2 linked regions of the Xenopus tropicalis genome follow. The protein of the gene in region 1 interacts with the protein of each later gene in a pairwise test. Links are inferred from orthologs where the notes say so. Each region holds a gene or a part of one and is shown in the gene's direction. Other genes may lie near its edges.

Region 1 (4,405 bases):
TATGCCATCCCACCAGCGATTTACATTCTAGCCGGTGCAATGGCATTTCGGGGAGATTAGTCGCCCACGACAAGGAAGATTTGTGGCACGGTGACTAATCTCCCTGTGTGTCACAGCCGTAAATGATAAGCATAGTCTATTTTAGTCTATTTTAGTCTATAGTCTATTTTTAGCTACTAGTAGCTCTGTGTGTCTTCACCCTTAAGGTGGCCATACACATAAAGATCCGCTCAAGGTTGCCATGCGAGCGGATCTTCTCCCGATATCCCCACCTATGGGTGGGCGATATCGGGGGAATTTTGACTAGTTCGAATTATAACGTCTGTATTAGGCACTATCCGTTCGCAGACCGCATCAACGAGCCGATGCGGTCCCTGATCCAACTGAATTTTTTAACCTGCCCGATCAATATCTGGCCGATTTCCAAGGGACCGATATCGGCATCTACAATCTGCATGTGTATGACCACCTTTACTGGCTCCATGCACCTTTCCCCTGCCCAGTCTGCCCATTTCCCTGACCCTTGCAACACCCTCAAATGTCACTTCCCGCCCACCAACCCAAATGCTAGTACTAGCCACAGAAAAAGGTAGCAACCCTTATCCATGATAGCTTTGCCACCTTTGAAGAGTTATTTTAATGGCAGGAGCGGAGCTATGAGAGAGCAGGGTGGGCACAAAGGAGTGGGATGTGACATAAAGGGAAAGGGTTATGGCGCAAGAGGGTAGTCAGGCTGAACTGGAAGGCCATTTTGTAAGTAGAGCTAGTCTCTTTGGAAGCTGCAAGGGCTGATGGGAGGCAGGCCTGGGGTGGATGGAATAGTTATCATAAATTTACAGACAAGTATGTTGCCAGTAAATTTGTTATGGGCCCCAGGCTTGTATATAGGGGCTAGGTATAGGAGCTGGGACAGAGAGAAGCTGCACTGCATGTTGGTTAGTGTGGGAGGCACATCAGCCCTGTGTCAGTCCTGTTATTATTAGAATGCGTGTGAGGGGTAGGGCTCCCACTTTTTCTGGGAAAACACCAGCTTTTCTATATTTTTTTGTTTTCCCTATTAATTATATATTTTTTACTAGCCAGCCTGCAACCCTAGTGATGGACATTCATTCCCCCTTTACTATAAACATTTACAAAGAGCCAACACACTCTGCAGTGCTGTATAGCAGAATGGTATAAAACATACAAATTACATATCAATAAAAACCCAGAAGAAAAAGGGGCCGGGCCCGGCACAATAAATTTCCCTTTACAATCTTGGGGGGGCGGGGTCGCACTTTTTCCCGGCTAGGTAGGGGATAGCTCCTAACAAATGACTGTGTTCTCTGTGTTTAACTCATGAAAACAAGAATGGAGGAAATGGGAATATTAAAATAGCAACACCCCACCCCGGAGTCTTCAACTTCCCGTTACCCTTGGCAACAGTCACGGGGCCGACTTTTCGGAAAATGACGTCACCCGCCTTGAACCCCGCCCACCCCTCCTTCCTGCTCCCGCCTTAGCCCCGCCCACCCCTCCTCCCTGTGCTCTCCCCTGCTCTGCCCGAGTGTGCGACTGCCTTTGTCTTCCGTCAGCGCCATCTCCGTGCCGTGACGTCAGTGCTGTGAAGAGACGGGTCGGGAGAAGGCAGCTGTGGGGAGGACTAGTTAGCAACTAACGGGAAGGGCTTCCACTTCGAGTTATTCTCCTGCCGGCAGGTAAGTGTCCCCCTTACAGCTTCTCTTCACAGAAACATTATTTTGGGCTGTCCCACCAGCAGCAAGGCAGAGGGTGGTTATTATCCTCCCTTAGGTCCATACAACTCAGTTTTGTTCTCCCCCCCCCCCCCATCGCTGTTGTGCTTCCCAGGCAGGTGTGCCCATTCAGTGTCCCCCAGGTGTGACTGGAGCCGGAGCCCCCCGGCAGCTCATTGGGCGGTAGTACGGGCCGTGGGTGGAACTATTAAGGAAGGGGGGGGGGGGGGGGGGGGTGCGACTCCTGAGGCCGGGTGGGCCGCTCATAAACACTTTCACTGAATGTTTGTGAAGGGCTTATTCTTATTTAATTTTAGGGGGTCCCCAATATCAATTTTCCTGTGGGCCCAATGATGTCTGGTTATGCCAGTGATTACGCCCCATTAGGGGACCAGCTCCAGTTGGGGCATAAAGGGCGTATTTATTGGGGCCCCATGTTCATTTGAGGGTCTTAAAAGCTGCCATAAAGGGGGAATAGAAGATATAGACATTTTTTGAGAAACACAGGAGGGTAGTTGGTTGATATGACTAAGTAATACAAATCCACCTTTTCTGTCTCACTCACTTTGGCCTCTTTATTCACTAACTTTGCCATTCTATTTCTTACATACGCTTGCCCAGCGCTCTCCTGTGTGGCTATTTCTAATGGTGGGACCATCCATAGAGCAATAGGTGCCATGGCATTGGCCAGAGGTCAAGTGAGGTGATTTGGATTCCTTTAAAATCTTGTTTCCGCTGAGCCATTTGCCTATTTTGAGTCCCCAATACCCAGAAGGGATTTGGGAGGACTAAGCCATGTCATGTGACCGAACGGCATTCTTAAACACCAGATTATCTGGTATAGACATTAATGTAGGGTTAAAAAAATGTGTTTTAGGCCTTTGGTTTCACTAACATCGTCTTTAAATAAGGTGAGAGACAGGAGGAAGTGTGAGAGACCTTGGGCACAGTTGTGTAGATGAGTTTAGGGAAGGTGCTACAGACACCTCTAATGGAGGAAGATCACAAGTTAAAGTGACTTTTTTCTGTGACATTTTTACCGTTGACCGTGTAAGGTGGCAGCCTAAAGAATTACATGAATGTGGCCATGCCAAAAGTACTATTTCTATTAATAAGCACCTACATCAGTGGAATTTACAAACTGGTAATTTGCAGGCTGGGTTTCCTGCCTGCTGAACGTCGTTGGTTAGCACACTTTATTTAATGTGAGTCAGGATCAGTATTGTGGGTGCATGCTTCTGGTCACGTGATCATTTGGTTGGGGGTGTGTGTAGGGGAAACATTATGTGGCACTATATATCTGTGAATGCAGGTTTGTGTATGTATATGTCCATCTGAAGGCCACATTCTGCATCTGTAGCTTTTTTCAGTGGTTTGGTTCGGATTCTAAGGGCTCTGGCACACAGGGAGATTAGTCGCCCGCAACAAATCTCCTGTGTCTCGGGCGACTAATCTCCCCGAAATGCCATCCCACCGGCGAAAATGTAAATCGACATTTATATTTACTTGTGTCTCTCATAATCAGCACATATAATCAACTGGTCAGTGCTAATTACAGGTGACGCATATAATTAAATCTAGCCATTAACAACTCTAAATTTACTTACTCTGTTTTTATTATTATTATTTTATGAGCCACCAGAACTTGAATCTATCTCTGTTGTAGACACAGGACATTTACCATACAGCAGCTGTGTTGGACACAGCTTAGTTTAGCTGTCCCAGGCGTCATCTTATAGGGACACGCTAGTCATTTAGTCACATTATGGTCGTGGCCATACTTTTCCAAGAAAATGTTGCACAGCACTGATCTAGGAGAAGATTTAGGCATTTTCCCTAAATCCCACCTTGGCCTTCAGGTTCACCCCCCAGTCACTGCTCTTTATCTACGGGGACAGTCTTAAAGGAGAAGTAAAAACTAAGTAAGCTTTATCAGAAAGGTCTATGTAAATACAGCCATAAGTACTCACAGAAACACTGCACTGACTTCTCTGAAAAAAGATTAGTTGTGTCTGTAATTCCTGTGCCAGAGACACGCAGCTTTCAGCTCTCTGCTCTCTCCTTCTCCCCCCTCCCTCAAGAATGTTAAGAACTCACAACCCCCCTTAGGAATGTGGATCTGAGCCAATCAGCAGGAAGCTGACTCATAGTCTTACTAACTGAGCATGTTCAGTGGTCTCGGTGTCTGTGCAGGAGTGAGGCATTATGGGAACTTTCTTTACACAGCTTAGGGTTTTTTCTTCCTGTTTGGCTTCTGATCATCTGAACAGGAGAAATGTGGGGAGACTTAAGGGCATTATTGAGACAACTGAAGGTATGCCTGCAGCTTGAGATTAACTCTTTACTAGCCTTTCCTTCTCCTTTAAATTTTGAAAACTGCTGATAAAGATTTGCAGACCGCTTTGTAAACCTAAGTAGTGCTGGGCGGTATACCGGTTTAACCGGTATACCGGTTTTTGAAAAAAAAACGATATGATTTTTGAACATACCGCTATACCGGTATGCGCGCCTCCTGCAGTTTTTATCCAATTACATCCGGGTTGCGCCCGTGCGCACGTGACGTCGGCGCGCATGTGACGTCGGCGCGCACGCGACGTCGCTAGGACGCATCGCTGGGGCTGGGGCTGGGGCTGGTGCTGGGGTTGGGGGGGTTGTGGCTGGTGCTGGGGGGT
Region 2 (3,652 bases), on another chromosome or scaffold:
TGACAAAAGTCTGCTTGGTTTGCTCCTCTCTCCCCCTCCCTTCTCCCCCTCCCAACTGTGCTGTAATCTGAGCTGCAGCACAGAAGCTACTGAGACCAAGCTAAAATGGCAGCTGCTATCTTATACAATCAGTGGGAGCTTCTAGGGCTGTTTAATCAGGTATGGCAAAGCTTTCTATAGAATAAATATAGCTTTCTAGCTTGCACTATTGTGCCTTAACAATCGGCAATAAAATGCCAAAATTAGTGATGAGTAAAAATTTTTGCCAGACATTGATTGCACAATTTTGCATTTCGCCAGTGGTGACTTTCACAAAACTGGCACAAACATTTGTCACTAACAAAAGTTCACTCAAGTGAGGAAAAAGTTGCGGTTGCATCATAAAAGTCATGTGCCTCAAAAAAGTTGTGCAGTAGCCACTGTGAAATGGGACAGGTTCGCTGATCACTAGCCAAAATGCCTTTTCTTCTCCCTTAAACTTCATATATTACAAATGCTATCTACCTCTCCCCTACATATTGTAATGATCCAATATGATCGAAACTAATAGGATTTATTGTTGTTGTTTGATGTAAAGAAAGTTTTTTTTCTGGATACCATAATAATATTGTATGTTTTGATAAAAAACATTTTGCCTTTTTCTCTTTTCCAGAAAGCAGTGTATCGAGCTTGAGCAACAGTTTGACTTCCTAAAGGATCTTGTAGCTACTGTTCCAGACATGCAGGGTGATGCTGAAGACAATCATACTGAAGGAGAGAGGGTGTCACGGAGGTGAGCTACTGCAGAGTAAGCCCAGTAAAGTGCACCACATGTGAATACATAACTTTCTGGTCATTTCATTGGAGTTGCTCTTTCCAGTTCATAAAAGCATAGCCTCAGTGGTGCAAGTAGTATTCACTGTAAACATATGGTAGTGGTAGTTATGTAGTCTTTTGGTTTTTACCCACCTGTACCTGAGACCATAACTACACTTTTAAGAGTACAAGAGAAAGGATGGATAGTAGGGAGTCAGGAGGCACTACAGCTAAGCCTGTTGTGTATCACAGAGGGGTACTTGTTAGCAGCCATCCATCCAGTGTTCCACCTCATGGATTTTTATATTGTTTTCTGTGAGAAAAAGATAAGGGGCTGGGTACTCCTTGATTTATCCCTGATATGCAAGAAATAAAATATTGATGTTTATATGCTACTGATTTAAGGATGAGACTGTAGTGGACATACGTTATATGCTATCAAGCATTTTAAGGGTAAAGACACACAGAGCTACTAGTAGCAGCTACTGCCTAAGGGCAGTGGCACACGGGGAGATTAGTTGCCCCGCGACAAATCTTTGCTACCACCGACGACTAATCTTCCCACAGTGTCATCTGACCGAAAACTTTGGGAAATCGTATCAATCGTATGTCATCCCACTGGCGATTTACATTGTTGCTGGTGGGATGGCATTGCAGGGAGATTAGTCGCTCACCCTAAATGCCAGAAAATACCCTGCCATAGACAATACTGAGAATTGCCTCTGCTAAGACACATGTAGAGCCAATTATCAGTAAATGATCAGCATTGTCTATTTTTGTTGCCGTGACAAGTAGCTGCTACTAGTAGCCCTGTGTGTCTTTACCCTAAGGGATTATAAATGATATTATGCCTTAGTTTCATGCAAATAGTGGTGCAGCACCCTCCAGCATGTCTATTCCAGATATAGTAGAATAAGTAACTAATATTTCCTGTAAGAATATTATATACCAAATAACATAAAAGCTAATTCTGCATATGTCACACATTCTTTTTTTTTTTTTTGTAACTCAAATTTTTTATTTGAAAAATTATCATGTGAAATACATAATACATATAAAACATTGCTGATTAGGACATCTTGATAGTTAGTATGTTGTGCTTTACTTTTAATACATAAATGAAAATAGCATAAGTTCAACAGTTGTAAACCTAATAAAACAGTGCATGCTCTGGTCCAGATCCTGTTACCTTGTGTGTCTTGTGGTTCTGCAACCCCTATCTTTATTAAGGTGTGGTTTTTAGTTTCCATCTGACATATTGTTTGTGCTTGTGTGAATTTCTGGATTTTCCCGTGGGTTTGATGCTAAGTAGGCTTCCCAAGGCAACCATATGTTATCATTCAATTGCACATTATTAGTTATAGAGGCGGTCATCGTTTCAAATCGTTTATTGCTCTCCACCCTTGTTATGACCTCGGATATGTTGGGGATATTGTGTGATTTCCACTTGGAGGTGAGCGCTAATCGTGCAGCTGTTGTGATGTGGTTTACAAGTTTTTGAACTGGGCGTTTGAGTCTCGCTATGGGTTGTCCCAGTAGAAGATGAGGTGGTTGAATATCTAGTGGTATTGCAAGTACTGAGGTGATGAGGTCGCCTACCTCTTTCCAGTAGCTTGTTACCAAGGGGCATTGCCATAGTATGTGGCTTAAGGTTCCTCTAGCTGTGCATCCCCTCCAACAATGTGGGAGGCTGTTTGGATAAATTTTTGATAGCCTATCTGGTGTCATGTACCATCTCATCATTACCTTGTAAACGCTTTCTTTCTGCTGTGTGCAGGTGACTATGTGATTAGCATTGTCCCAAATTTTTGACCAGGTATGGTCAGACAGTTCTATCCCGAGGGCCTCTTCCCAATACCGCATGTAGCTATGTTTGGGGAAGGGGTCCTCAGGTAATGTTACCATCAGTTTGTAGAGGTGAGATATTAAGCCCTTATAGGGGAATGGGGAGCTCAAGATTTTTTCATATGGGGTCAAGGGGTTAATTGCGATTGTGCCCAGTTTAGAGTTTATAAAGTGTTGGATTTGCAGATATTCCATGAACTTGTCTTTGGCCCATTTGTACTTCTCTTTGAGTCTTTCATAGGGGTAAAGTTTGATTTCTTGGGTCCATAAAGTTATGGATCTTAGTCATATTGATTGGTGCCCAGGTTGTTTTATGATTCCAGAGGAGCCCTGGTGAGAATTCAGGGTTTCCCAATATGGGGGTGAGAAGGGAGTGTAGCCCCAATATTTTATATTTCTTTTTGCATCTGTTCCAGGTCATGGCCGTGAATTTTATTGGGGCAGGTGCAGTATCTGGTAGTAGGGTTTTACCTTTTTCTACAAATAAGAGACAGCTAATGTGGTAGGGGTAGGTGTATGAGGCTTCTATTTGCGCCCACCTTGTGGGAGGTGTTGGCTGGATCCATGGTAGAGTTTGTCTTAATTGGGCTGCATCGTAATATTTGGAGATGTCTGGCACAGCTAGTCCTCCCTGTTGTCTGCTTGTGAGTAGAATTGATCTTGAGACTCTGCCCTTCGCAGACCCCCAGACAAATCTCAGAGTGTCCCTCTGGATGTTTTTCAAACCCGCTCCGGGAACTGTGACAGGCAGAGTCTCAAAAAGGTACAACAGTTTAGGCAGAATGTTCATTTTAATAGAGGCTATACGGCCGAACCAGGATAATGGGTAATTATCCCATTCCTTAAGGTCCTGTGTGATTTTTTTAAGTAATGGTATGTAATTTGCCCTATAGAGATCTTCATACTTGGGGGTGATGTGTATCCCCAGGTATTTTAGGTGGGATGTTTGCCATTTATATATGAAGGTTTGGGTTATTGCCTTTTTTGTGCGAATGTCTATGTTCATGGGGAG

What was found.
Region 2: the proteins of sdcbp (region 1) and drap1 interact in binary tests that used the Homo sapiens proteins (3 or more experiments, as listed by UniProt). The two-hybrid records come from large-scale screens. The link is inferred for Xenopus tropicalis from reciprocal best matches to the Homo sapiens genes SDCBP and DRAP1.

Annotation. Positions count from the first base shown.
Region 1 is NC_030682.2:116,370,194-116,374,598, forward strand, and holds the start of sdcbp (syntenin-1), read left to right. Parts: upstream 1-1,594; 5' UTR 1,595-1,697; intron 1,698-4,405. UniProt on the Homo sapiens protein: Multifunctional adapter protein involved in diverse array of functions including trafficking of transmembrane proteins, neuro and immunomodulation, exosome biogenesis, and tumorigenesis.
Region 2 is NC_030680.2:38,508,902-38,512,553, forward strand, and holds part of drap1 (dr1-associated corepressor), read left to right. Parts: intron 1-652; coding exon 653-772; intron 773-3,652. UniProt on the Homo sapiens protein: The association of the DR1/DRAP1 heterodimer with TBP results in a functional repression of both activated and basal transcription of class II genes.